Linked DNA regions of Elephas maximus indicus. The main gene of each other region encodes a partner of the protein of the gene in region 4 in a complex. Links are inferred from orthologs where the notes say so. Each region holds a gene or a part of one and is shown on either strand. Other genes may lie near its edges. The genes, in order: SF3B2, PRPF4, CRIPT and SNRPE.

The links.
Region 1: SNRPE (region 4) and SF3B2 share a complex: the UniProt entries of both Homo sapiens proteins name them as parts of the minor spliceosome. The link is inferred for Elephas maximus indicus from reciprocal best matches to the Homo sapiens genes SNRPE and SF3B2.
Region 2: SNRPE (region 4) and PRPF4 share a complex: the UniProt entries of both Homo sapiens proteins name them as parts of the U4/U6-U5 tri-snRNP complex. The link is inferred for Elephas maximus indicus from reciprocal best matches to the Homo sapiens genes SNRPE and PRPF4.
Region 3: SNRPE (region 4) and CRIPT share a complex: the UniProt entries of both Homo sapiens proteins name them as parts of the minor spliceosome. The link is inferred for Elephas maximus indicus from reciprocal best matches to the Homo sapiens genes SNRPE and CRIPT.

Annotation. Positions count from the first base shown.
Region 1 is NC_064825.1:129,193,546-129,200,724, forward strand, and holds the start of SF3B2 (splicing factor 3B subunit 2), read left to right. Parts: upstream 1-4,165; 5' UTR 4,166-4,213; coding exon 4,214-4,346; intron 4,347-4,527; coding exon 4,528-4,574; intron 4,575-4,886; coding exon 4,887-4,964; intron 4,965-5,962; coding exon 5,963-6,211; intron 6,212-7,179. UniProt on the Homo sapiens protein: Component of the 17S U2 SnRNP complex of the spliceosome, a large ribonucleoprotein complex that removes introns from transcribed pre-mRNAs.
Region 2 is NC_064827.1:62,533,621-62,541,417, reverse strand, and holds the start of PRPF4 (U4/U6 small nuclear ribonucleoprotein Prp4), read right to left. Parts: upstream 3,013-7,797; 5' UTR 2,970-3,012; coding exon 2,826-2,969; intron 2,272-2,825; coding exon 2,088-2,271; intron 268-2,087; coding exon 81-267; intron 1-80. UniProt on the Homo sapiens protein: Plays a role in pre-mRNA splicing as component of the U4/U6-U5 tri-snRNP complex that is involved in spliceosome assembly, and as component of the precatalytic spliceosome (spliceosome B complex).
Region 3 is NC_064844.1:15,567,540-15,574,370, forward strand, and holds the start of CRIPT (cysteine-rich PDZ-binding protein), read right to left. Parts: upstream 3,007-6,831; 5' UTR 2,916-3,006; coding exon 2,900-2,915; intron 1-2,899. Other genes in the region: PIGF (phosphatidylinositol-glycan biosynthesis class F protein), read left to right, coding at 3,544-3,633, 5,398-5,646, 6,734-6,825. UniProt on the Homo sapiens protein: As a component of the minor spliceosome, involved in the splicing of U12-type introns in pre-mRNAs. Involved in the cytoskeletal anchoring of DLG4 in excitatory synapses.
Region 4 is NC_064836.1:13,038,331-13,045,823, reverse strand, and holds the start of SNRPE (small nuclear ribonucleoprotein E), read right to left. Parts: upstream 3,016-7,493; 5' UTR 2,953-3,015; coding exon 2,899-2,952; intron 2,420-2,898; coding exon 2,393-2,419; intron 1,295-2,392; coding exon 1,232-1,294; intron 248-1,231; coding exon 169-247; intron 1-168. UniProt on the Homo sapiens protein: Plays a role in pre-mRNA splicing as a core component of the spliceosomal U1, U2, U4 and U5 small nuclear ribonucleoproteins (snRNPs), the building blocks of the spliceosome.

The DNA.
Region 1 (7,179 bases), on a different chromosome or scaffold from region 4:
ATCCTGACTTGAGGGATGGCACAGACGGGTGAGTGGGGAAACTGACCTGGGCACTAGGGAGGAAGGGGCTAAAGGACGTAGAGGGTTGCAAATTAATGACCCCGGGAGATCAGATATCCTTCCATCTCCCTCTCCTCCTTTTCTTCTCCTAGCCTGCGCCAGGTCCCCAGCCCCCTCTCCCTGTCATCCACCTCCACATCCCTGTCTCCCAATTTCCTACATCCTTCTCTCTCCATCACTACCCACCCCCACCATTCCCTCGATTTCCTCCCAACCTCTCCCAGGGCTCCGGTCACCAGGCGCAGGTCACCCTGAGGCACAGGCCAGCGTCGCCCTCTGCCCCGTCCTCTCCCGTTCCCCACAGGGCAGCGCGCCCCTCCTCCAGCGCCCAGGCTCTAGGCCCCCAGACACTCCGCCCACCGTCGTCCCCTAGCCCCGGGCAACCACTGCAGTACTCACGCCGCGCGGGCTCTGCCTCCAGCCGGGCTGCTGCGGCGTGGTCACCGCTACCCACCCGCCTCTGGTCCTGAGCTCTGCGCGAGTCCTAGGTGGCCGGGGCCCTGCGCGCCAAATGCCGACCGCTCGCCGCGCGGCGCCTCGATGGGATCAGGTGGCGGCGGCCGCTCGGCTCCACTCGGCTCTGCTTTGCCCGCCGCCCGCCCCCCATCGCACACCGGAGGCGGGGCGGGGGCCGGGAGCAGGAGAGGGGGAGGGGCTCGAAGGGGAGGGGGCGGCCTGGCGGAGCTGGCGGCGCTACCGGCGTTGCAGGGGAACTCTCTCCCCGGAGCGTCTTGGGGTGTGGGCATCTTCACCCGGCAGCCTCGCAGGGGCTGGACACCAACGCGGCCAGCCCTCTTCCCTAGCTGAACTGAAGGGAAAACTGAGGCCAGGAAGGTGTCTGAATACTCCAGTGTAGCCGGGCCCCCCTCGTGGAGTTAGACGCACAGAGAGATGCGTTTACGGGCACCCACGTGCTCCCTCTCCCTCTCCTTCTCCTTTCCACCTGCGCAAGAAGCGCAGCTCCAACCCCTGGTCTGGATCCATCTGCCCTCACACCCAGAGACTCCTTCCTTCCAACCTGCGGTCCACACTCCCCGGGTCCTGCCCCCGTCCCTCACCCACTCCTACTCCCCACCAGGACTCCTTACCAAAGCTTTAGTGGGACCTGGACCCCCGACTGGGTACTGTGCATCAGGAATCAGAGGACCGAATTCCATCCTGGTTTGTCACTGAATCTCCGAGTTAAGAGGCAATGCCCTGAGCCCATGGCTTCCAGCTCCAGCTCTAAAATGGGAACAACGGCCCTGTTTCCTGGAGCTTTTCTGGGGCTGTAGAGATAATACAGGCGAAGGCTCTGTGTACACCCCAGTGTGTGTAGGGGGGTAGTCCTGAATTTTCCACTGCCTCCTTAGTCCTTGGAGTCCCTGGGCAGTGCAAATGGTTAGCACTCAGCTCTTAATCAGAAGGTTGGAGGTTTGAGTCCTCCCGGAGGTGCCTGGGAAGAAAGTCGTGTTCTTCTACTTAAGAAAAATCAGTCATCGAGAACTCAATGGAGCACAGTTCTACTCTGACATACATGAGGTCACCATGACTGGGAATTGACTCAATGGCAACTGGATTCTTAGTTCTTAGCTCCTGCCACCTGGGAGTTGGGCAGCAGTACCTCCCCCAAACCAGGCCAGTTGTCAAGAGCCCTTCATTCTGTTCTGGGAGGGACCCCTGCTTTCTCCTTTCCTGTGGGCTGGCGTGGCAGGGGTGCTGGGGCAGCCAATCAAAGCTGGGACTAATTGGGCTGGATACCCCCATTCCAAGCCAACTCAGGTAATTGGTGGGTGTTGAGGAGCAGAAGGGAATGGGGACTTTCAGCATCAGGAGAGCTGCTTGTGGTCGCAGTTCAGCCCTTTGGGCCTGTCAGCTTCTCTCTGCCCATCAAGCTTCCCTTTTGCACAATGGAGCCAGGGGGAGGGAGCGGGTAGTCCTACCCCGCCTGCCTCCCAGGGCTGTTGTGCTGAAATGAGGCCCTGCTTGGTGTGTCCCTTTCTGGCCCTGGCTACATTGCCTCCTCACCAGTCAGTCTTTACCCTAGACTGCTCAGACAGTGACCCCTCCCCCAGCAGGTTGGGGCACCTGAGGGCCTCCAGCCTCAGATGACCTGCTGGGGCTCTCAGGTTTCAGAAGCAGAAAGAGTCTTCCTTTGGGTCCAAAGTGGTTCTGCCTGAGTGGGCTGACGAGCTGGAGGGGAGGGCACCACTGTTCTTTCTTCTATGCTGTCTTTCTGGGAGTGGCAGCTGGCAACTGGGATGGTGGTCATGATGGAAGGGGTTTGGGCAGGAGTGAAAGGAACTTCCTGGCTCAGTCCTATTCCCTATTTTTCCTAGACCTCACCTCCCCTAGACCTGGGGCCGCATTCTTTCTCTGTTCCCAGCTACTTTGCTGTTGGGGGCAGTTGGTGAAATGGAGCCAGACAGAGAGAAGATCTGAAGGCAGTGTGTGTGTGGTGGGGACAGGGGTGGGTTATCCAACAGGCAGATTACCAGATCATTTGAAGTTTCAAAGATGTGAAACCCATGTGAAATTGTTCACTACAGATTAGTAAGCACAAGTAAGCCTGTGCTTACCTTGTTTACTAGGTCATCTGGTTGTCAAGGATTGTAACTTTGAAAAGAGGCTTTGATTTTGTAGGAAGGTGCTGTGGGATTGGGAGAGCGACAGATGCCAGCCATACCTAGAAGCAGAGTCTTTGATGTGATGAAAAAATGTGTGCTTACCTTGCCTATTGGATAATCCGCCCCTAGGTGGGGGTAGTAAATAAGACCATTTTACCTGAGTGCCCCCCAACTAAACACACACACACACACACACACACACACGCACGCAGTGAGCCTGGCAGTCAGGATGGGAGAGGGACCTCAGAACTAGTGGCAGATGTGGGAAGGAGAGATTGATGGGAGGAGGGAGACGCGCGGTAGCCAGACAGGTAAAAGCACCTGTCCATGCCCCTGGCAGGCCCTGGGGGTTGGGTGGGGTGGGGGGGGGGTGGAGGAGAACGGGGTCGCCTGCCACTGGGCTGGAGGGGCTCAGAGAAGCAGAGGTCCTGAGTTTGGACTACAACCAAAACCAAAGCCGCTGCCCTCGAGTTGATTCCAACTCATAGCGACTCTATAGGACAGAGTAGAACTGCCCCATAGAGCTTCCAAGGAGCGCCTGGTGGATTTGAACTACCAACCTTTTTTGGTTAGCAGCTGTAGCACTTAACCACTAAGCCACCAGGGTTTCCAGTTTAGACTAAGGAAGATGTAAATCTTGCCACCATTAAGATTGCTTCATTTACTCTTTTGCACTCATCTTTATTGAGTGCTTCTTGGATCCCAGATGCCGCATGCCAGACAGCAAAATGACCAGGTACCTGCTCACGTTCTTGGGGATGGAGGTGAGTGTGGAGAGAAGGGCAAAAAACAAACAGTAGAGGTTTGAACGTGTTATGAGAGCTCCAAGAATAGGAAAGCGGGAGAAGGCTTAACGGAGGAGACACTTGAGCCGGCCCGGAAGGTGGAAATGGGGCTTTAGTGTTGCCCTTCCCCCAGGTCGGGAGTTGGAGCTCAGCCCGGGCGGGCCCGCTCCTCTCCCGGCTCCGATCCCCTTACAGCCCATTCATCCATGTCTGGGCCGGGGGCGGGCGGGCAGACAATCAGACACTGTTTTATCACAGGCATCGGCTCCAGCCTCCCGCTTGGCGCCCGCAACGTTCGGCCACCGGGGGAAAGGGCCTCTCGGGCGTCCCTGGAAACACGAGCGTCCCGGCTCTCACGCCTATTCAGGGAGTCGGGCCGGAAGGCTGATAGTCCGCGCTCGGGCAGGCGAGACGCAGAAAGCGTCCTTCCAACTAGACAGCTTTGGCCGCAGCAACGTCCGCCCGTAGGGTTTCCCGGAGCTGTAATGGGCACTGTATTCCTGGCGCTGGACCCGCAGTGACCGTCAGCTGCGTACTACAACTCCCAGAAGGCTTCGCGACCAGGCCATCTGCGGACCACTGGATAAAGGGCGCGTCTGTTGGCGAATCACGTTTCCCGGCCGTTGGTCCGGGGTGGCCCTCTAGCCGAACAGCCCTCCAATCCGCGGGCGGGCTGCTGGACGTCGTCCCCGGAAGTTCCGGGAAGTGGGCCCGGAGCTGGCCCTGGCATCCGGGTTGGTCGCGCGCCTTCCTGCGGCTAAGATGGCGACCGAGCATCCCGAGCCTCCCAAAGGGGAGCTACAGCTGCCGCCGCCGCCACCCCCAGGGCACTATGGTGCCTGGGCTGCCCAGGAGCTTCAGGCTAAGTTGGCAGAGATTGGAGCGCCGATCCAGGGTGAGGAGCGCGGAAGGTCAAGAGGGGACTACATGGGCCTGCAGAGAAGCGGAGCCTTGTTACCTCGGAGACTCGGGGGCAGGGGGCGGAGGCGGGCTAATAGGGCCCGCCCTGGCCGGGTCGGCCGGACCTAGCCCACTCCGACCCAGCATTGATCACTGACTCTGTGTTTGCCACGCAGGGAGTCGCGAGGAGCTGGTGGAGCGGCTGCAGACCTACACCCGCCAGGTAAGTGCCAGCGGAGGGACGTCAGGATAGACCAGGCTTCTCAAGGCAGCCTTCAAGACATCACGGCTCGGTCTTCATTCTTAGTGCTCCCGGCACAGCAAGGTCTTGCACTTTTTTGCATGCTCTTGCTTGTTCTTGACTTTACCTGTTCTGTTGTCATAGCTTTATGCATAGTGGCCCTCCCCAGTGCCCGAGCTCCAAGCTCCTGCAGACGGGCACTGGGTAAGCTTTGTTGAATGAATGAGAGGGAACGTCGTTTATTGGATCAGTGCTTCTTGACCTGGTCTAGAGTTGTTCGTTCTTTTTTTGCAGACTGGCATGGTGCTGAATCGGCCGGTTCTCAGAAGAGATGATGGGGACAAAGCTGCTCCCCCTCCCATGTCAGCACAGGTGAGGAAGTTGTTCTACTTTATAAGGTCTCTTCTACCCAGGATAGGCACATCTTCTCATGTGCAGTGCACTGGGAATGCAGTTAGCAGGGTGGGCAGGGAGGTACTCCGTGGACAGAAGTGGGAGCCCTTCAGTTCTCTCTTGGTCCTGATACCTGCCTCCTTCTCCAACATTTGCTCCTCCAAATTCTATTTGACATTCAAGACTCACCTCTCAATTTCCATGTGCCTTCTGATCCAGCAGTGGCCAACCTGGGCTCCATTGACCTCAATGGATGGGGTGATGAGTCCCTAGATGGCTTTCAGACGTGTTCCTGAAGCTCCTGAAATTGTATGCAAAATTCGTTTTTTTGGAGAGAGAGTTGATAGTTTTTCTCTGTCGATGCTCCAAAGTTAACATTTTCTTTTCTTGGTTAATATCTGGGCCGTCCTCTTCCTGTATTCAAGAATCACGTGTTAAAGTTGCTGTCGTTAGATGCCTTCAAGTCAGTTTTTGACTCTTACTGACCCCATGTGACAGAGTAGAACTGTCCTGTAGGGTTTTCAGCCTGTAATCCTTACGGGAACAGATTGCCAGGTCTTTCTCTTGCAGAGCCACTGGGGCGTTTGAATCACCAACCTTTGCATTAGCAGCCACGTGCTTAACTGTTGCACCACCAGGGCTCATTGTGTGTTAACCCAAAACCAAACCAAACTCACTGCTGTCAAGTGGGCTCCAACTTATAGCGACCCTATAGAACAGAATAAAACTGCCCTGTTGGGTTTCCTGAGCTATAATCTTTACAGATGTAGACTGCCATATTTTTTTCCTATGGAATAGTTGGTGGGTTAGCAGCCGAGCACTTTAAGCATTGTGCCACCAGGGTTCCTTCCTTGTGTGTTAAGGAGGGAAAAAAGAAAGAATAATATGTTATTTGACTTTGAATCCCAGCACCCAGCAAATATCTGTAGGATAAATAGATAAGTGCTTCCTAGTTTACACTCATACTTTCTTCGCAGCTCTCCGGGATTCCCATGCCACCGCCACCCATGGGACTCCCCCCTCTACAACCTCCTCCACCACCCCCACCACCTCCACCAGGCCTTGGCCTTGGCTTTCCTATGGCAGGCGGACCCCACCCACCAAACTTGGGGCCCCCTCCTCCCCTCCGTGTGGGTGAGCCTGTGGCGCTGTCTGAGGAGGAACGGCTGAAGCTGGCACAGCAGCAGGCAGCATTGCTGATGCAGCAGGAGGAACGTGCCAAGCAGGTAGGGCAGGGGAGAGCCTGCGGCTAGGCCGAATCAGGCCCCTGAAAGGGGAGTGGAGCTCTAGAGGGAGCTGGATCGTAGGGCTGAGGCTTCTGGGAAGGTCTGGATCAATGCTTAGAACCTAGGCTGTAGGCCGGATGAGGACCACAGGAAGCAGAGTTGTGTTAGACAGAGGAATGGGGTTAGGCTGTAGGCCGGATGAGGACCACAGGAAGCAGAGTGGTGTCAGACAGGTGTGTGGGGTTAGGCTGTAGGCCGGATGAGGACCACAGGAAGCAGAGTGGTGTCAGACAGGTGTGTGGGGTTAGGCTGTAGGCCGGATAAGGACCACAGGAAGCAGAGTGGTGTCAGACAGGTGTGTGGGGTAAGGCTGTAGGCCGGATGAGGACCACAGGAGGCAGAGTGGTGTCAGACAGGTGTGTGGGGTTAGGCTGTAGGCTGGATAAGGACCACAGGAAGCAGAGTGGTGTCAGACAGGTGTGTGGGGTTAGGCTGTAGGCCGATTGAGGACCACAGGAGGCAGAGTGGTGTCAGACAGGTGTGTGGGGTTAGGCTGTAGGCTGGATAAGGACCACAGGAAGCAGAGTGGTGTCAGACAGGTGTGTGGGGTTAGGCTGTAGGCCGATTGAGGACCACAGGAGGCAGAGTGGTGTCAGACAGGTGTGTGGGGTTAGGCTGTAGGCCGGATGAGGACCACAGGAAGCAGAGTTGTGTTAGACAGGTGTGTGGGGTTAGGCTGTAGGCCGATTGAGGACCACAGGAAGCAGAGTGGTGTCAGACAGGTGTGCGGGGTTAGGCTGTAGGCCGGATGAGGACCACAGGAAGCAGAGTTGTGTCAGACAGGTGTGTGGGGTTAGGCTGTAGGCCGGATGAGGACCACAGGAAGCAGAGTTGTGTTAGACAGGTGTGTGGGGTTAGGCTGTAGGCCGATTGAGGACCACAGGAAGCAGAGTGGTGTCAGACAGGTG
Region 2 (7,797 bases), on a different chromosome or scaffold from region 4:
CGAAGACTGACAAATTTGGAACTAGAACCTTGTGATTAAAAAAAAAAGAAGAGTAAATATTTAGGAATTAGGAAGGGCACCTCTCTCTTCTTTCAGCAGGGCCCTCTCCAAAAAGTGTGATGGGTTCTCCCAAGGCTCTAAGGCAAGCCTTGACCTCTGAGTCATCTGTGGAAACATTGATTTGCCGGGCTCGCTTTCTTCTCTCAAACTCAGCCAATACTTCTGCCTGTCGCTCACTGATGTGTTCTTCAATTTCAAACACTTCTCCTATAAAAAGAACGGGCAACTTCAGTATAATCACCAGATCTTCAAATAGAAAGAGATAATTTCTAACAACTGTCGTCTACGTATGCCACTAGGGAAAGGCAACTGTCCAGTCTAGTACACGTTTTATAGATAGTTTACCATTTTTCAGTTTACTAAATTACGTCAAATACGTAAAACTAAATGACACAGCTTTAAAAGGCAGGAAAGTGGTTCAAGTCATTTTGGCAACCTTACACCTAATAAAAACACATAACTTAGATGGGATCAGAGGGTAAGGATACAAATCCCCGAAACTATGGCCCCTGAACACTCTGCTAACCCAGAACTGAAAACATTCCTGCAACCCACTTTTCAAACAAAAATTAGACAGGCTATAAAACAAAATAACACCCGTGAGACCAAAAGGGCAACTCTTGTTCAAGAGCATGACGAGAAGGCAGGAAGGGACAGGAACTGGATGAATGAACATACGGAACCCAGAGTGGAAAGGGGGAGTGTGCTGTCACATGGTGGGGATTGCAACCAATGTCACAAAACAGTATGTCTATAAATTTCTGAATGAGAAATTTACTTGAACTGTAAACTTGCACCTAAAGCACAATTAAAAAAAAAAATACATGCTGGTATATCTAAAAAAATAACAAAATGTGAATGACAAGAAAAAAAAAAAAAAGGAGTATAAAACATCTTTACCAAAGCCCTTCTATCCAAAAGATAAAATAGAAACACTATTTTAGTAATTGCCAAAGTTACTCTCTAACAGTCCCAGTATAGCATAGAAATACAACTAGTTAACTGAAACTAATTACTATGAAGATGAGCTTTCCATGATTATAAGGCTTTTTACAACCTAACAACAAGTTTTAAAACCCAAACCAAATATGAGCATTTTGATGAAAAATAAGAGGTACAATAGTGATGCAATTGTGTTTGAAAACAGCATAAAAGGTTAATGGGAGGCTTGACAAGAAACTTTCTGCAGAGGAGTCTTCATTTTATATTCTTCTGTACCATTTAAATTTCTTATGACAACCGTGCATACTTTTATTTTAAAAAATACAGCAAACTCCTCGGTACTGACATGGAACAATACCCGCAGCAGCATACAGAGTGAAAACACAGGTTACAAAACAATTTGTACATCATGGTTTCATTTATGGAAAAAAAATATGTATTTTTATAGCTATATTAAAATTCTCAGAAAGATACCCAGTTGCCATAGAGTCGATTCAGAATCATGGTGACCCCATGTATGTAGGAATAGGATTACACTCCACAGGGTTTTCAATGGCTGATTTTTTGGAAGCAGATTGCCAGGCCTTTTTTGAGTAGCCTCTGGATGGATACACACCTAATTAATAAGGATCACGGGATTTTCTACTTCGTACATCTCTACATTTTTGATTTAACAAAAATAAAAACAGCTATTACTTTTATACTTAAAAAACACAGGTTTCACTCTGGCTGAAAAATAATTGGAAAACTAAAAAAAGGGAGAACGTTATGAACCACAATAGCTCCAAACCAATGCCACAACTATCCTAGCTCTCTAGAAGACAAACACAATCAATCTGAGCCCAAATACCTAAACATCTGAGTAAATTCCTAACAATCCACGGAACAAAAAACTGTATAAAAGATCCTAAGAAACAGGCTCTCCAAATGATGCTAAGGGTGGTAGGCAAAGTATGGCCTTACAGGTGCAAGTTTAAGAATTGAAAACTTTAGAGACCACAAAACTAGTGATAATTATCTAGGAAGGTATTCACTATAGAAAATTTGAGCATCAAACGTAAAGAGAGACTCAAATTGCATCTCACCAGAGGTTATGTTAATATTTCCAGCTTCGATTCCTGCTTTAAGTCCTTCTTTCCCCAAAATTCCAGACTCTCCTTTGGCCAGACGTTCCCTCTCCTTCTCTTCCAAACTTCCATAATAGATGTGGGGTTTCTTCACAACAGGAGCAACTAAGTCATCAGGTGCCTTAGAGGTTTTGGTTCCCTGCTAAACCAAAGAACTGAATTAATTTAAGGCTTAATCTTAGCAATCTACTAGGCGTCCCCAAAGCTCATCCTGAGCTTCAATCCTATTTCCTCCCCGAATGAAAGGGCAAGTTGGACACCAGTTAAGATGTTCTTCCCTGATTTGAAGGGTGTTTCCATCCCTCCATCACTTAAGTTTTGCAGACAGGTAGCAGAAGGTCGATAAAACTAATGAATTTCTCTTGGTGATTTTTCTATCAACGTTTTACTTTGGAATCTGTTTACTTCATGTCGGTTGGAAGTGCAATCTCTTCTTGGGTTTTATGAACCTTCTAAGATTATTGCTTATCACGAGGGAAACAGCAAGGATTTGGTTGAAATCTTTTGAATGAAAGGCTGGTTATTTGAATGAAATAGCTAACCAGGTGCTAACGTAAATTCCTGGTCTATACATTTCAAACGACAACAGATACGGGGTTAGGAGGCCTCATTACAACTGACATAGACGTGAATCTTGACCAAGACATTTCCCTCCTTCAGGTCTCCGCTTTGGGACCAGTCGGAGGAAGTGTTTACCGTTCCAGGGCTGTAGCGAGAGAGACGAAAGAGACCAAAGCGTATGAAAACGCTCAGGTACCAGGATAGCGCTGCTCGGCTCCATAATGGAACAATGAGTACCGCAGTCTCTCTCCCTCCTCCTCCCTCCACCGCCTTATCCATTTCCTAGCGGCCCCATCCTGCAGTAATCACTCGGCGCTCCCTGCCACAGTAAGCAGAGATTCCGAGTTCTGTACCGTGGAAGGAGGTCGTGAGGCGGCCATGCCGGGCTCTGGAGCCGCAAACTCCAGCGAAAACCGAGCGGTACGTTCAGACCGTCCACCGCGCGCCCAGCAAAGCGGAACTACGTCATCGACCGGAACTGGGCCTAGAACCGGCGCAGCGACTGGGGTAGCGCGGAGCTTGATGGGAATCGTAGTAGGGTAGATTCTCGTCACGTCTGGAGGCGTGACCTGTGCAGCTTCCGAGTAAACCACGCGGGAGACAAGAGTCTGCAGAGAGAGTCTCAGAGAAGTCTGGGAAGTGTAGTCCACTCGTTTTAGCGGTAGATTGGTGATGGGCGCTAAGGTTCCGGGAAGGGGCTGAGCTGAGCAGGCTTGAAAGGAGGTATGTGTATGCAGTGGCGCGACTCCGGGCTGAACCTTGGAGCTAATTGATGACTTCCGGGGCCTGCAGTCCCTCCTGGGCCTACGGGAGACTTTATGTTGTCCTGGAGCGGGGGACCTTGTTGCCGTGGAAACCATCGCCCTGAACCCCTGAGTGCTTCCCTGGCTCTGGAGGAGGGTTGTTGCCTGCTGTCCGGAAGCCCTCCTAAGGACTCCCTCTGAGTTGTGAATTTCTGGAGGATTTGGGCAGCGGCTGGAGATTAAGCTCGAAGAGCCCGTTAGCGCCAAAATAAAATACTGGGCGGAGGAGCCATGGCCTGATTTGGTTGTTAGCTCTCCACCGGTCTTTCTTTCAGATTCAGAGTGAGGTGATGGATATGAAGGGGACAGGTAAGGTATACACAGGCAACTCTCGGCACAGCCCTGTGCCCTGCTGCGTGCTGGGGCATCAGAGATTATACAAAACAAGGTTTTTGCACTCACAGGGTGAATGAGGGAGCCTCAGAATACTGGTGTTAGCGGAGCTGGATGGAGGCGCCCCTCTACTGAGGAAAATTACGATAATAATGAAACCAAAAACCAGTTGCTGTGGAAACATACTGACATGTGGTGACCCCAAGTGTGTTACAGTAGAGCTGCGCTCCATAGGGTTTTCAGTGGCTGATTTTTCGGAAGTAGATCACCAGGCCTTTCTTCTGAGGCAGCTCTAGGCATACGCCAACCGCCAACCTTTCCTTTTGCCCTCTAGCGTTGGCGTTTCCTAAATGCCAAATTATGTGCCAGGAGGTTGATCTGCCTTATGTCATTCAGTCGTTACCACAGAGTACAGATACAGGGAAGGAAACTAAGGTCTAGTGAGAGCTGATACTAATTGTTCACCGTCAGTGGCAGAGTGGGAGCCCCAGCACTTTTAAACCATTCCTCTACACAACTTCCTAGTGTCCAGCTTTTCAGTCTGCAGAAAAGCTAAGAAAACTTATAGCACTTTTTTCTCTTAAGTATTTACCCTTCCTTCCGCCTCATGCTTTCTTTGGAAATTTGGCTTCTTCTACCACTTGTTTACATTGGAATCTGGTAGAAGAGTCTATCTGATTTAGTGCAAAGCAGTTTGAAATGTAATGTGCCAGAGTTTTATGTTGGTAATATCAGTCCCAAGCTTCATGGGAAGAGGAAACATACCTTTATTTGCATACTTCACAGTCCCTAGCTACAAATAAAAATTTATGTCTGCACATACTTATAAAGGGCATTCTTTTACACTATTCTCATTTAATCCTCATCCTGTGATGTATGTGTGATTATAGGAGGCCCACATTATTAGCCAAAATTGAACAGCTTGCTTCAACTTCTTTATCTGAAAAATGGGGATAATTTTGTCAGCTTCACAGGGTTTCTGTGAAGATTAAACTAAGAATGTAAAGAAAGGAGAGGAAAATCTTAGAACAGTACTCAAAAAAAGTTCATCTCACGTTCTCTATTAGATCTCTCATTTTATTCAACAAGTATTTACTGACTACTTGATAAAAATACATTCTACTGGATGCTGTGGAGAATGTAAAGATAATGCCATCAACAGATGTTAAACTCAGTTGTGGGAGTTTTGTTTTCTTCTCAAAAAATACTTGTTCTTTTTGTTAACACAAGTATTACCTTGGGTTCTTAGACTGTGTAGTACTCTCTTAAGCCTCTGCAAACTCCTATCTGCCTGGAATGCCTTTAGTCCCCTTTCTCTGCTTGTCCTTCAGAACTGAACTAAGACGTCCTCTTCACTAGGAAGCCCTCCTGACATTCCTGCCCACCCCACGTTCAACTGGGTTTAGGTGCCTCTGTGATGCCATTGTATTAGCCTCATCAGAGTTCTTGTTATTCTGTGTCGTAATTTTCTGTTTCCTTGACTGTTTCCCCACAGACTGTGTCCTTTAACTCTGTAGCTGAAACACAAGAAGCGTTCACTGAATAAATGACTTATCCATTCAGACTCTGAGGATAATCCTGTGAACTGGTGAGTTAGAGGGAGTTTTCATGAAATGTAGCAAACTTCAGTGTTCTGGAGTGATCAGAAATCTCTGACAATTCTCATGTCTAGTGGATTAAACTTAATGGCATGTCCACTCTCCCACTTCTTGTTCGGTGCCGTCGAGTCGTGTCCGACTCGTAGCGACCCTTTGTACAGCAAAACGAAACGCTGCCTGCTCCTCTGCCATCCTCACAATCGTTGCTATGCTTGAGCCCATTGTTGCAACCACTGTGGCAGTCCATCTTATTGAGGGTCTTACTCTCTGGCTGACCCTCTACTTTACCAAGCATGATGTCCTTCTCCAGGGACTGGCCCCTCATGATAGCATGTCCAAAGTACGTGAGGTGAAGTTTCACCATCCTCACTTCTAAGGAGCTTTCTGGCTGTACTTCTTCCAAGACAGATTTGTTCATTGTTCTGGCAGTCCAATATTCTTCACCAACACCATAATTCAAAGGCACCCATTTTTCTTTGGTCTTCCTTATTCATAGTCCACCTTTTGCATGCATATAAGGAGGTTGAAAATACGATGGCTTGAGTCACGTGCACCTTAGTTCTCAAAGTAACATCTTCGCTTTTTAACACCTTAAAGTAAGAAAGAAAAGACCAAGGTGGATGTCAGAGGAGACTCTGATACTTGCTCTTGAGCATCGAGCAGCTAAAGCAAAAGGAAGAATTGATGAAGTAAAAGAACTGAACAGAAGATTTCAAAGGGCCTCTCGAGAAGACAAAGTAAAGTATTATAATGACATGTGCAAAGAGCTGGAGATGAAAAACCAAAAGGGGAGAACATGCTCAGCGTTTCTCAAGCTGAAAGAACTGAAGAAAAAATTCAAGCCTCGAGTTGCAATAGTTAAGAATTCCATGGGGAAAATATTAAACGACACAGGAAGCATCAAAAAAAGATGGAAGGAATACACAGAGTCGTTATACCAAAAAGAATTAGTCAATGTTCAACCATTTCAAGAGGTAGCATATGATCAGGAACCGATGGTACTGAAGGAAGAAGTCCAAGCTACTCTGAAGGCATTGGCGAAAAACAAGGCTCCAGGAATTGAAGGAATATCAATTGAGATGTTTCAACAAACAGATGCAGCACTGGAGGTGCTCACTCATCTATGCCAAGAAATATGGAAGACAGCTTCCTGGCCAACTGACTGGAAGAGATCCATATTTATGCCTATTCCCAAGAAAGGTGATCCAACCGAATGTGAAAATTATAGGATAGTATCATTAATAAAAAAAAATTTTTTTTTTTTTATCATTAATATCACACACAAAATTTTGCTGAAGATCACTCAAAAAACGGCTGCAGCAGTATATCGACAGGGAACTGCCAGAAATTCAGGCTGGTTTCAGAAGAGGACGTGGAACCAGGGATATCATTGCTGATGTCAGATGGATCCTGGCTGAAAGCAGAGAATACCGGAAGGATGTTTACCTGTGTTTTATTGACCATGCAAAGGCATTCGACTGTGTGGATCATAACAAATTATGGGTAACGTTGTGAAGAACAGGAATTCCAGAACAGTTAATTGTGCATAAGGAGGAACCTTTCCATAGATCAAGAGGCAGTTGTTCGGACAGAACAAGGGGATACTGATTGGTTTAAAGTCAGGAAAGGTGTGCGTCAGGGTTGTATTCTTTAACCATACCTATTCAATCTGTATGCTGAGCAAATAATATGAGAAGCTGGACTATATGAAGAAGAACAGAGCATCAGGATTAGAGGACTCATTAACAGCCTGCGTTATGCAGATGACAAACTTTCTTGCTGAAAGTGAAGAGGACTTGAAGCACTTACTAATGAAGATCAAAGACCACAGCCTTCAGTATGGATTGCACCTCAACATACAGAAAACAAAAATCCTCACAACTGGACTAGTGAGCAACATCACGATAAACGGAGAAAAGATTGAAGTTGTCAAAGATTTCATTTTACTTGGATCCACAATCAACAGCCATGGAAGCAGCAGTCAAGAAATCAAAAGACGCATTGCACTGGGTAAATCTGCTGCAAAGGACCTCTTTAAAGTGTTGAAGAACAAAGATATCACCTTGAAAACTAAGGTGCTCCTGACCCAAGCCATGGTATTTTCAATTGCATCATATGCATATGAAAGCTGGACAACGAATAAGGAAGACCAAAGAAGAGTTGACGCCTTTGAATTGTGGTGTTGTTGAAGAATATTGAATATACCATGGACTGCCAGAAGAACGAACAAATCTGTCTTGGAAGAAGTACAACCAGAATGCTCCTTAGAAGCAAGGATGATGAGACTGCGTCTTACATACTTTGGACGTGTTGTCAGGAGGGATCAGTCTCTGGAGAAGGACATCATGCTTGGCAAAGTACAGGGTCAGCGGA
Region 3 (6,831 bases), on a different chromosome or scaffold from region 4:
GTATTAAACTACCAGATAACAACCAAGTAAAGCTTCCCAGTATTGTTTAGAAAAAGCTGTTCGGCTGGTGCTCAGGTAAGAGAGAAGTGAGGGCTGCCAGCATGGACTCAACACTCATCTGCATAGAGGTACTCCTTGAAGCCCAACACTTCCAAAGAAAAAGCGAAAAAAAAAAAAAAGTAGAGAAAAGAAGATCAAAGATGGACCACTGGGGAACATCTACTTTAAGAGAGGAAGGAGAAATAAGAAAACTTAAAGAGCAGAATGCTAAAGAAGCGTAGAAAGAAGTAAAGCAGGACTGAAAAAAAGGTCATTGACCTTGGTGACCAGATCACTGGCAAACTTTTGAAAATCCTTTCAGAAATGTGGTAAGATGAAAGTAAGTTTGCAAGGTGCTCAAAGGCAACTGTGAAAATCTGGAGGCAATGAATGTAGCCAAGTCTCTGAAAATTTTACAGAGAATGGAAAGAGAGAGCTAAGGTGGATACTTGAGAGTGCAGCTTTATGTATGGGAGAGATCTGAGCTTATTTATAGAGTAGAATGAGTGGATGTATTGGGAGATAAGAAAAATACAATAGAGAGAGTATATTTTCATTTAAGGAACAAGATGGTCTAGGTGGTAGGAAGGTATTTGACCAAAGATATAATAAAGGGCTAGACTTACAGAACAGCAGAGAAGAAAAAAGGGAACAAGCTTTTATGATACACATCATGTCCCAGAATCAAATATGTATATTTTAGTACCACATCTGATCTTGGATTCCCAAAATTACTGTGTACCTTGAGAAATTAACTCTCACAGTTTCCCCAGTATTTTCAATTTTCCTGGGACAAAGCACTTAAAGTACTAAGGGGTATTATGCATAACAAACAAAACCAGACAGAACTCCTGTCCTCTCAAAAGTTAAACTACACAAAATTAACCCAAGTTACATGGAAGGCCAAACTTACACATTTAAGAAGTGCACAATGGAACAGAAAAGATGTCAGGGCAGGTGCATAACTGGAAAATAATTAAGTCACATTCACTCAAAAAACCAGCCAAACAAACTCTGCTGTGTGCAGGAAGGAAAACAGTTAAAGTATGTCAACGTGAAAAGTTTAATGTGCTTTTTGAGGCGATGAAAATGGTCTAAAATGCATCGTGGTGAGGGCTGCACAATCCTGTGAATATACTAAAAACCACTGAATTGTACGCTTTAAGCGGGGGAATTGTATGCTATGTGGATTGTATCTCAATGAAGTTATAATTAAAAAAAGCTTAATGAGAGAAAAGAGCCAGACATGTTTAACCAGAAGATATGAGACTTGGGGATATGACAGCTGTTTTTAAGCTAAATATAAACAGCTTGAAGATCAAAAAAAGGTCCCTACGCGGCACAAGGAAACCCTGGTGGCATAGTGGTTAAGAGCTACGGCTGCTAACCAAGAGGTGAGCAGTTCAAATCCGCCAGGCGCTCCTTGGAAACTCTATGGGCAGTTCTACTCTGTCCTATAGGGTCGCTATGAGTCGGAATCGACTCGACGGTAGTGGGTAGGGGGCACAAACGGTTTGCTCTCAGAGGCTAACCTAAACGTTGGCAGTTTGAACCCATCCAGTGGTACCTCAGAAGAATAGACTTGATGATCTGCTTCCATTAAGATACAGCCAAGACAACACTATGAAGTAACACCATGAGTCTCAATCGAATGGACAGCAACTAACAACAAGATTAAAAAGCCATGAGGTGTTTTCTACAAATTTCAAGGGTCTGCATTAGAATCAATGGGTGGCAACTACAGGCAGGTAGGCTTTTCTAAAAGCCAACGATGTCTACGTAAACGGCTCTGGAGGTGGTGAGATTCTCCCATCCCTGTCTGCCCCAATACTGTAGATATTCATGAAAAGAATATATAAACCATTGGATGGGAGGGTGACTTAGGGTTGACAGAAAAATGTTGTTAGGTCCCCTGGAGTCTGTTCCAACTCATAGCGACCCCACATATAACAGAATAAAACATTGCCCAGTCCTGTGCCATCCTCACAATAGTAGGTATGTTTGAGCCCACCGTTGTAGTCACTGTGTCAATCCATTTTGTTGAGGGTCTTCCTCTTTTTTCAATGACCTCTACTTTACCAAGCATGATGTCCTTCTCCAGGGATTGGCCCCTCCTGGTAAAATGTCCGAAGTAACTGAGATGAAGTCTCTCCACCCTCACCTGCCTAGTTAAACTGGAATTTCAGATAAACAATGAATAATAGTTTTAGTAAAGTATGTCCTAAAGATAGCAAGGGACAACAAACATGGCCAAGACCCAAGTGACACACTCATACTAAAAAAATAATCCGTGGTTTATCTGAAATTTACATTTAACTGAACATCCTGTGTTTTTATTTGCTACCTCTGGCAACAAGATACTATAGATGTGATTTTTAAGATCCATTCCAAACCCGAGTGTCTATGAGGTGAAGGAATCAGTCAAGAAGCTATGTGGGATGAGATCGGGGCTGGAGGAAGCAGTTCTACTGTCCTATAGGGTCGCTATGAACCGGAATCGACTCGATGGCAGCAGTGATTTTTGGTAGAATATGGTCACTTGGAGCCCTGGTGGCGCAGCGGTTAAGAGCTCGGCTGGTAACCAAAAGGTCGGCATTTTGAATGCACCAGGCGCTCCTTGGAAACCCCAGGGGACAGTTCTACTTTGTCCTACAGGGTCGCTATGAGTCGGAATCGACTCGACGGCATTGGGTTTGGCTTGGTAGCTGGAGAGGGGGGTGAATGGTCAAAGGGCAGGGTAGCAGAACAGAGACTAGAATGAAGAGACCTGTGAGAAGAAGAAAAAGAAAGGCAACGGTCCCGGGAAGTCCACCTAGGTTCGCTAGCCTCCTTCTCCCGCAGAACCGGCCCCTTAACTCACATTTTTCGCACACCATCCTTCAGAAGACGACGGTTCCCTTAACAACAATAGCAGCAGCAGCTCGCAAACATCAACACTACAACCCGAAAAGGATTTTCCTTCCGGGTACGTCGATCTACTTCCGGCCTCTCAACCCCGAGCTCCGGCCTATCCTACACCTGGAAAGCCGCGGGAGGAATAAACGCGAGCCGGTGGGCGGGGCTTCTCCATATGCCCGCCTCCTCTCCTTTGCGATTGGCTGTTGGGGCTCGGGTTCCGCCCCCACGACCTTGCGCCTGCGCGAGGGTCAGGGCAGCGAGTCGCACCTGATGGTGGGTGGCGGCAGCCTCCCCTTCCCATCCGCGGGCGGGAGAGTTAGGTAAGCCCAGCTGGAGCCCCCGGCTCGCTCGTCCCCCGGAGGTGCGAGCAGCCCCCAGCAACGGCCGCAGTGGGCGCGAGTCTCTGTGCCCCACCGTCCGCTCGAGCGCCACCATTCCGGCGTGACCCCAGGGGCTTCCCTGATGGACCGACTGTGGTTCGGATCCGACTTTTGCCTCTGTACCTGTTTTCTCTGGTGTCCACCGCCTGTGCTCTTTGCCACCTGTAATCCCGCCGGGTGAAGCTTGGGCAGAGCCCTGATCGACCAGTTTGGGGTGGGGCTGCAGATGGACGTCCCGCGATTCCCAGGAAGGCTTCTCTGGGAGCAGCTCAGAGGAGCCTTCTCACCGGCTGTAATACCCGTCGATCTGAGCCAGGTGAAACCGACGGCGCCAGGGCGGTGGCCTTCCCATGGGGCTCCTGTTAGGTGTCTTCCCGGGCACGCCAGGGCCTAACAGTGCTTGTTTCTCAGGAAGGGCCCCTGCGTTTGTTTGTGGGCAACCTCTACCTACTCGTTCGGGCATTCATTCAACAAACATGGAGTATGGGTACTGCTCGTTATCTTAGATCCAAATCCATTGATATCAGGTGGCATTCTGAGAATGGCCGAGATGAATGGTGCCCGAAGGGGTATCTGTTGTTGAATATTGCCCTTCTTTCCCAGTTTGTTGAGGCTAGAACCCGTGAGAAACCTGTTTTGTCTCATCTTCCCCTTCGATCTCTTCCCGATGCCTGGTGTGATATAAAGAGGCCAGGCTTTGGAGTGGCTTTAGCACTTGGGAGCTTAGGACCTTGGATGTGTCTCTTAACATATCTTAATTTGTTTCCTTATCAGTAAAATATTTGCCTTTGACAATCATTCTCTCACGTGCTCTTTCACGGTCGCTCAGTATGTATGTATATGTGTATGTGCCAAAAGTACATTTTTTTCCTCCTTCCATTAATGTTTTACTTTTGATTGGAATATAGCACCTGTGACATCATCCTTTGGAAACCCTGGTGGTGTAGTGGTTAAGCGCTATGGCTGCTAACCAAAGGTTCAGCAGTTGGAATCCACCAGGCACTCCTTGGAAACTATGGGGCAGTTCTACTCTGTCCTATAGGGTCCCTATGAGTCAGAATTGACTCAGCGGCACTGGGTTTGGTTTTTGGTTTGGGTTAACATCATTCTTTCAACAGCCATCTAAGAGGCATTATCATTTTGGTATCTCTGGAGAAATGGGATCCGTTAGGAGTGAGTCCCTGAGTCATGGGGCTCCTCAGAAGATCTGCTTGAAAACTATCACAACCTCGAAAACCACATGGAGCACAGTTCTACTCTGCAACACATGGGGTCGCCATGAGTTGAAATGGACTGGATGGCAACTGCTTTGGTTTTTGGAGTCCCTTAGCATAACACTCTTTGAACTCCCTTGATTACTTTGGCACCATCATTTGAATATTTGAGTGTGCACTTAGTATCACTTGGTATTTGCGTAACCCGTTGGCGTTGAGTCGATTCCGACTCATGATGACCCTGTAGGACAGAGTGGAACTGCCTGCCCCAGAGAGTTTCCAAGGGGCGGCTAGTAGATGCAAACTGTTGACCTTTTGGTTAGCAGCCAAGCTCTTAACCACTGTGCCATCAGGGCTTCTGTGTATTTGCCAGAAGATGTAAATACTGTGATGCTGGACTAAGGATCCAGAGTGGTAGAAGACAACAACAACAACTTGGCCAAAGTGTATTCATGGGGTTTCTAGACAGCATATGTTATATTTCCAACCAAATGATTTTATCTGTGCAGTTTTGATCTCCATGATTTTGGCCAAAAAAAGTAAAATGAATTGCTTAATTGGTCCTAGCACATGTCCCTTTTGCAGAAACCAGTTACAAATATTTGAGAAACTAGTAAATTTGTCCTTTTTAGGCTCTGAGAGCTGTTTGGGTGGAAGAATCAGTACCACAGTAAGAGGGTCTAAGGTAAAATGTTAAATTTACCTGTGCGTTAACACATATGCATCTTTCTATTTTTTGCAAAAAAACATTATTGCCTAGAAATTGACTTTAATTCATGGCTGATTATGAGGGGTTGGAACGTTTGAGACAACGGAAGAACTTGTTATTGAATATGCTCTTACTTCGTTAATTTGTTTTTCACTAGATAGCCACTGAAGAAAACACCATGAAAGATACTGACATCAGGAGACTATTGTATGCCCATCTCCTGTGCATATTTTCAGTTATCCTAAGCACCTTCATTCCATCACTCTTCTTGGAGGACTTCTCAGTATTGGAAACCCACTTGACATGGCTGTGCATCTGTTCTGTTTCTGTAACTGCCGTCAATCTAGTATTCTATTTGGTAGTGAAGCCAAATCCACCCTCTAGAAGAAGCTCATTATCACACAAGGTAAGGCTCATTCCTTCATAATTGGTTTTTGAATGGGGCTAGTGGGTTGTTTTTTTTTTTAATGGAAGAATAAAGTATTAGTTCAGTTTTCACTAACCTGGTGTTTCTTTTTCAAATCAGTGGCCAATTGCTTGCTAGAAGTTTGTCCACAATGTTTGATAGATAGTATTTATGAAGTTAGGGCAGTTTATTTTCATTTATTTTTGCATTTCTGAAAGACACTTAATGGAGTTCTCAGGAATTATAAAAGAGCCTCCATGGTGGCTCTGTTGTTTTGAACACAGCCTTCCTTGACTAAACAGTGGTGAAGTTTTCAGGTGTTAGAATTTATTTTCTTTAGTATTAATTACTTTACTGCAGTGTGACATGTTGACAATTTAATAAAGTCCTCACTTAACATTATTCAATACTATGTGTAAGCTCTGTGTTAGGTAATTTAAGGTACTTGTATTGCTTTATGAGTCTAAAAGGTCAATGTGTGTGTTTTACAATTATATCTTCTTTATTTAAGCTCCAGATAAGCGGGTCTCATACTGATTTGCAGATAGGCAGGTCTTTTTGCATGTGGGTCATACAGTAACATGAATGTGATTTGGGGGATTATTTAGTAATTTGCTTTTTTGGTGCAAAATTTCCTAGGAAGTTTTTTTTTTTTTTAAATAAAATAAGTTATTGTAGTTGATATTTATTTTGCAGCTATTTCATGTATCGTCTCTGCAGCTCTTTGGTAATAAGGACTGTGTTTTGTGCTTTCTTGGATCCCTGCATTCTGTTATCAAAAAATATTGATTAAATACAAAGCTCAATATATGCCATAGAAACAGAACCCCTTTTTCACTCTAGTGTTTGTTGGGTTCGGGACACAGGAGAGTGGTACTCGCCTTTTAGCCCTTCCTACAAAGCTGTATTGCAGCTGTGTGCTTGACTTCACACAGGACGTGTGATTTGACTCTTTGGTCCTCAGATCCAAGGGGCATTCAGGTGTTTCACACATTACGGTAATGATTTGTGTCTGTAGATAAAATGGAAGGATTTGTTGTCTTCTGGGTGTTCTGATGAGCCTTTAAATTATTCCTTTCTTTTTTAGGTAGGCAGATTTTTGAAGTGCTGCATCTACTTTCTTATGTCCTGTTTCTGCTTTCATGTAATATTTGTTCTATATGGAGCGCCGCTAATAGAGTAAGT
Region 4 (7,493 bases):
AATGGAATGGGGTAAGTGGGAGAGGATGATTTCGAAAGAGTACACTACTCCCCCAAACAATAACTTCTCAAATGCAAACTAAATTTAAGAATGAACTGAGCTGCAGGTCACTAATTTTGCAACTGAATAAACCTTTCTAGGATTCTGTAAGGCCATCTATATTCTTACCCAGTTGTTTTCTTGACTTTGTTTTAGAATGAATCTCTTCTGCATCATCTAACACAAGGTTCATATACTCATCAAAACCCTAGAAAATAAGCCACAGGACCATCATCGAGTTAGATCACATTCAAACCATTCAAAAATGAGTGTATCTATCTAGATACAGAATGCCAATGAACTTCAGAAATTCGTCCCTCTACTGATCTTTCATCTAAAGTAAGGCATATGTAAGCACCACCTTCACCCTAAGTCTCTTTTTAAGTAACAAAGAAAGCCAGAAGGTATTCTAAATTACTACTCAAACCTCTTGGACTTAGGATTTCATTAGCTATGCCAAGGAGCCACTCTTGCTCTCTTTCACAACCTGCCTGATAGAGTATGTGTGTATGTCTATGATTATCTTCTGCCAATGCTCTCCCCCTGTGTCCCCACAATATGCTATTACCACTAACCACATTTGTTTCCCGACCGGTAAATCGGGCAGGGGAGATTACCGATGAAATCTAAGATGTCTAAACGGAATTGCCATGTCTAAATGGAATACCAGAGTGCTCTGACGTAATACTTTCAGCCATGCTTCCATTAATCTCCCCTTCTAAATTTATGTTTTATTTTTTCTGAGGAAGCCCTGGTGGGGCACCAGTTAAGCGCTCAGCTGCCAACCAAAAGGTTGGGAGTTTAAACCCACCAGCCACTCTGCAGAAGAAAGATATGACAATCCACTTCTGTAAGGATTACAGCCTTGGAAAACCTATGGGGCAGATCTACTCTGTCCTTTAGGGTTGCTATGAGTTGGAATCAACTCGATGGCAACTGGTTTATCTCTTTTGTCCCCTTCCGCAATGCCAATATTGTTGTTTAAGTAATCCTAAAAGCTTAATTTTCCTGTTCTTTTTTGAATTACCCAACCCCTAACAACTAGAACAATGACAAGGCTAACCAGGGGGCCCTGAAAAACTTTCCTTGGGTTGAATCTTCAATTTTCCATATATTGCTCTGCCTAGCCACTTTCCGTTAAGTCTTTTTCTGGGAACAAACTGCTCTGAGATAAAATATCCTGGGTACTCACTATGATACAGCCCTCTATCCGCATATTCACTTGCTCATACAGCCACACCTGAATCCGGGATCTCTGAAATAATCATAAAAAAAGAAATGTTAGAATAAGTAAATACAATCTAATCACTTTGGTTAAACAACAGAGATGAACTATGGCTCCTAAAAAACTATCCGAAAAATATAAGTCAAGAATTTTAACCAGCAAGTCTATACCTAAGAGTCAAGATAGGTTACTTGCCAAGAAACCTTTTCATTTATTAAATGTTATACTGTGATTGTCTGGGCTAACAAATTGGCTGTGATCTCAGGACTCAATCATATTTCTCATTACTTATAATCCCAATCCACTGAGATTAAAAATTGGTGACAGTATAGCACAAAGCAGTAAATTCCGACGATCAAGATTAAGGGCATATGTTGTATCTGATAAAGCAAAATCCAGCTCCAAAGCAAGGCTTCTTCTAGCTTCTCAGCCCTCCGTGTCACACACATAACCACCAGAGGAGGATCACCAATTCCGGTGTTTACAATTTACGGGGCTTGAAATTACTCTGTTTTTCAACTGTGTTACTTATCACACACTAAAACTTGTCAGAGCAACAGAAACATTTTCTTTCAGAGATAATTTTAACATCTGACCTGTCAACTGAAAGTATTGCTAAAAATCCCCCCAAAGGAAAGCAGGCTGAATCTACTTCTTCACTCCACATTTTTAAACGTCTTTTCTATATGTAAGTTTTCCCATAGGCATTAAGCACACATCTCACGACATGGTTTAAGTTAACTGGGTATTTCTTTTAAGCCATGTTTGACCTTCTGGCAACCCTAAGTGGAGGAGATCAGAACGTTCCCATATTCTGGTCATAATCACTACAACAAAAGCACCAAATACTATCAACACGTCTGCCAACGAACAAACCCTGAAACTCATAATTTTGGTTTTGGAAAGAAATGACACAATTCTTTGCACGCTTGGAGTTGACAGCTGTAAATAACTACTTTCTTATATTAAGGCTTCTCTGTACCCTTTCCTGTCAATTATCCCTCCAGCCCCTCCTCTGATTTCATTTATTTTTAACATAGAACACAGCGACCCAGTAGACTGACACATACAGCTTAGAAAACCCAACTTTTACTTAAAAAATCATTATGAAACAAGTAACTTACGTACATTTTGCAAATATCTGAAGATAAGGTTCTGCATCACAGTAGTTAAGGAACTGGTCGATCTCAACCATCGCACTTTTTTTTTTTTTTTTGGTTTGTTTTCTGAACGTGAGGTCTGCTGCCTACACAAGTAACAGTGCCCAACAAATGGCACTCAACCGAAGTCTCCTAAAAACCCGGAAGGAATCCCCCCCACTCCCTTATCCGTCAGGAGTTTCCATCGCCCCGACAACCTCCCTCAAACCGGTAATTCTGCGTTCACTCAGTACCCAGCGATGTCGTCCCTCCGCTCAGCCTCGACATCCTACATCTCCCACCCCCGGGGTCGGCCTATCCTCACCTCCCACCCAGCACCAGTCCAACTACCCGCGCTTTCTCCCGGTCTCGATCACCCCGGAGGCTCATGGGATGTAACCCGCACTCCTCGCCTTCAGGCCGGGTCTCTGCCCGCTCCTTCGTCCTCCGTTTCCTAGCCCGAATCTCCTAGTCCTGACATCTCAAGCAGGATACGATGGGCTGCACCATCACCTTCTGCACTTTCTGGCCCTGGCCACGGTAAGCCATGGTGGAAGCTCACAAAGACCACACTAAGCCGCACGCCGACGCAGAAAGCGACTTCCGGAATTAGGAACCGGAAACGGAAATGTATTGAGGCCGCGCAGCGACCTGACGGCTACTGGGTGGTGCCTCTCTAGCCGCAGAGTGGCTTTCTCTGTGATCTGTAGCATCCCGGGGAGGCCGAACTGAGGGCGCTGCACTCGGTAGGATCGGAACCTGATCCGATCCTACAGCGCCACCTGGAGGGAGACGGGAGAAAGCCCCGAGGGACTTCGGTCGTGCGGTGGAAGCGGGGGAAAGCGGTAGAAACACAGGCACCAGGTCGTTTCCGTTTTCTGATTTCCGCTTTTAGAGCCGTAGTCGTCCTATTGCGTGTCTCTGTCTGTAAAATGGGTTAAATTAGTCCTTTTCCTGAGGCCTAGCTTCCTGGAATTTAGGCTCGACGGCAGCGTTGTGGGGCGAGCGCGGGGAGAGCGGCAGGAAGCCCGAGCAAACAGCCCCAGTCTGTGGTTTGCCCTAGTGACGGATTCAACTCCTCTCGTCAGCTCCGTGGGGGAGTTTTGTGAGGTGGCAACAACGTGGTGATTTAGCGTGAAGGCTCTGAAATCCGATGCTGGGCTCAAATCCAGCTCACTTAATAGTTACGTGACCGAAATGTGCAAAATGGAGATAAAATTAATAGTACCTTCCTTACGGGTTTGTGGTGAGAATTCAGTGGTGTAATACAGTGCGCACACACACACACGTTCAGGCTGGAGTCAGTGTTAGATGTGACACACCGTTTCGCTGGTAACGACCTAGTGAGTGGGGGAGCTGAAATGCGCAAGTATGCCACACCCCAAAGCTCATCCAGTGTTTCCGTTATGTCGTGGTGGCTTGTGGCCTGGCAGAAATTTCATTCAATTGGAACACTCATTTTTTAAATGAGGAAACTGAAGCTCAGAGTTGAAGGGACTTGCCTAAGGGACATTAACGGAAAGTGGCAGAATCAGAACTTACCTAACTGAGGTCTTTTGTTGAATGAGGATAAAACCAATTTCTACCTCTTCAAAAGTGTTGAATCAGGGGACATAGAAGTGATTTTTTAACTATAAAGAGCTAGAAAGGTCATGGGACAGTTATTTCTCTTAACCTCATTCCTACCCCATGCTCTGAACGGAGTTAATTGGACAAAGATTTGGGTAAAGATTTGCTGAATTCAAAGACAGCCGGGATAGAACACAAAACCCCCCAAAACCAAACCCATTGCCGTCAAGTCAATCCCTACTTGTAGGGACCCTATATGGATAGAACACAAGAGTAGTAGTATTAACACCTACCTATTCAGTAGTAGTGTAATACCTGTCTCAAATGCACAGATGCTTAGCTACTTGTTTTAGCATTTTCCTGTTACTGGACTTTTGGGTGTTGATCCCTATAACCACTCATGTAACTGGATTATGTAACTCATTAAGAGTGTTGTGTTGTTTCCTTTTTCTTTTTTTGTAATTGTCTTTTTTACATTTAAGTCTTTGCTGCTCCACCTGAATTTATCCTAGTATCCTTGTATATCCTAGAGGTGATACAACTTTATATTTTCCTAACAGCTATCAGTTTTCCATCACCGTTACAAAAAAAAAAAAACCTCATCTTTCCCCCTATTATTTTAAAATGCCACATTTATAATATATCAAGTGTGTGTGTTTGTGTGTGTGTATCTGGGACTTCTACTTTGTTCAATTGATCCTTGTGTCTATGGAACCAATATCATAGTTGTAAGTATTGTAGCTTTATAAATATGTTTTCTTCTATAGAACTAGAAATAGGTAGCATTTTCCAAGCTATTCTTGTTTAGTTACTTTCATATACTCTTCAGAATCAGTTTTCAAAACCCTTTGGGGATTTTTTTTTTTTTTTTGAGATTTCATTAAACTTTAGAATAACTAAATTTTTTTTAATTCAAGTACACGATGTCTTTTCATTTGTCCAAGTATTCCTTTGAATCCTACAGAAGTTTTTTGTTTTCTTCATATAAAACTTGTCCAATTCTTAAATTTAATCCTAGACTCTTCATCTCTCTTATTTAAAAATTGAGTCTTTTCCTCAATTGTATGCTCTAACCATTTGTTAAAAGACAAATCAACTACATAAAAATTATAAAGTTTTACAAGACTAAAAAGGCATGATGATAAGCAAAGTCAGAAGAATTGGGGAAAATATGTTATTTGCAACAAATCAGACAAATGGCTAATTTCGCTAACACATAAAGAGCTCCTGAAAATAAAATCTAAAATGTTAAATGCTGTTTTGGCTCTCTAGTGCTGTGTATGAAAATTTTCCAAAACTTATTGACTTAAAACAGCAACCATTTTATTATAATTTATGATTTTGCGAGTCAGGAATTTAGGCCGAGCTCAGTTGGGTAATTCTTCAGGAGACATATCTAAGGCCTTGGTGGGTATCTTTGGAAGGCTGGCATTGGCTGGGTCCCTTTCCCTCTCTATGTAGTCTTGGGGCCTCTCCACATGGTCTCTCTGGCAGGGTAGTATGATTTCTTAATCAGTTCATTAACAAAATAAAATGGTCTTCAAACTTATGAACAGATACCCAACTTCAGTTATTATAAGAGAAATGCAGACTAAACTACAGTGAAATATCATTTTTTCCCCATTAGATGGCAAAGTTAAAAAAAAGTGGTATGAACTCAGCAATTCCAATTTCAAAGAACTGAAAGCAGGGACTCAAACTGATACTTACACACCAGTGTTCACTGCAGCATCATTCACAGTAGCCAAAAGGTGGAAACAACCTGAAAGTCCATCAGTGGATAAATAAATGTGATACATACAGTGGAAATTATTCAGTCATAAAGAGAAATGAAGTTCTGATACATGCTACAGCATGGATGAACCTTGAAAGCATTGTGCTGAGTGAAATGTCAGGCACAAAAGAATATTGTATGATTCCACTTCTATGAACTATCTAGATGTGATGGTTAAGACTGAGTGTCACCTTGGCTGGGCCATGATTCTCAGTGTTTTTGGCAGTCGTATTATGTTGTGATCACTTTCCTGTTGAGATTTGGTATGTGATCACCCCCATGATGGGATCTGCTGCTGTAAGTAGCCAATCAGTTGAAAGGGAGTTTCCTTGGGTGTGTGGCCTGCATTAAATATAAGCGGACATTCTGGTAAGACTTGAGGGCTTTTCATTTGTGCTGGATCCTGCAGCTCCTGTTTGTCTGACTTCTGGCTCTCGGGACTTGAGCTAGTAGCTTACCTGCGGTCTTGCCTGCTAATCTTGCGACTCATTGATCTTCGCAGCCTGTGAGCAATAGCCCTGTTCTCTGACCTGCCTATCTTGGGTTTGCCAGCCCCTGCAGCTACATGAATCAGGAGAAGCCTCTATCCTGACACACGGAATTGGGACACTCCAGTCTCTACTACCATGTGAGCCATCTCCTTGGTATAATCTCTTTATATATGTGTGTGTGTGTGTATATATATATATACATACATACATACATATATATATATAGGCTTTACTGGTTTTGCTTTTGTAGAGAACCCATCCTAAGACACTAGAAGAGGCAAATACGTAGAAGTAAATTTATATTAGTGGCTACCAAGGGCTGGAGAGAGGGGGTGGTGGGGTGTTGTTACTTAAGGATGAGAAACCATTTATATTCTCCTGAAACACAGATTTCTGGATCCGTGGAGTTGGGGTGACTGACCCAGGCCATTTGCAGTTAGGTGTCCTTTTGAACCTTTAGCCTTGAAGAAACTGGTTCCTAAGTGTCACATTTGAGTCAAACAATGGTCTAAAAAAAAAAACCTCTAAATAAGCTAATAAGGCCATTTTGCCTTGGGCATTGTGCTCTTTTGAAGAATTAAGTCAGTTTCAGAAAACAGACTCCAAAGGACAGACTGGGTGCTATGTTTAGGGTAAATTGGTAATTATTTTAATTTTTCTTTAAGACAATGCTGTATGACCATCTTTTCAGACCATGAATTTGATTATCAGTTCTGTTCCAACCTTTTTTCCATGGCAAGGTTTGGTGTGATAGTTAAGGTTGTGTGCTAACTTGGCTGGGCCATGAGTCTCAGTGATTTGGCAGTTATGTAATGATGTAGTCATCCTCCATGATGCGATCTGATGCGATCAGCCAATCAGTTGTGAGGGGCATTTCCTCGGGGGTGTGGCCTGCATCCAGTATATATGTGAACCTTCTGACAAAGCTCACTTGCTTGCTCTGGATCCTGCATCTGGCTCATCAACATCTGACCTTTGGTTTTTGGTATTTGAGCCAGCAACCAACTATACTGCCTGCTGATCTCAGGATTCATTGGCCTCCACAGCCTGTGAGCCAACAGCCTGTCATCTTACCTGCTGATCTTGGATTCATCAGCCTCTGCACTCTGTGAGCCAGTGACCTTACGTCTGACCTGCCGATCTTGAGTTCATCAGCCCCCGTAGCTACACGAGTCAAGAGAAGCCTCCAGACTGATCCCTGACCCGCAGACTTGGGTCTTGCCAGCCTCTACAAATGTGTGAGCTATTTCCTTGAG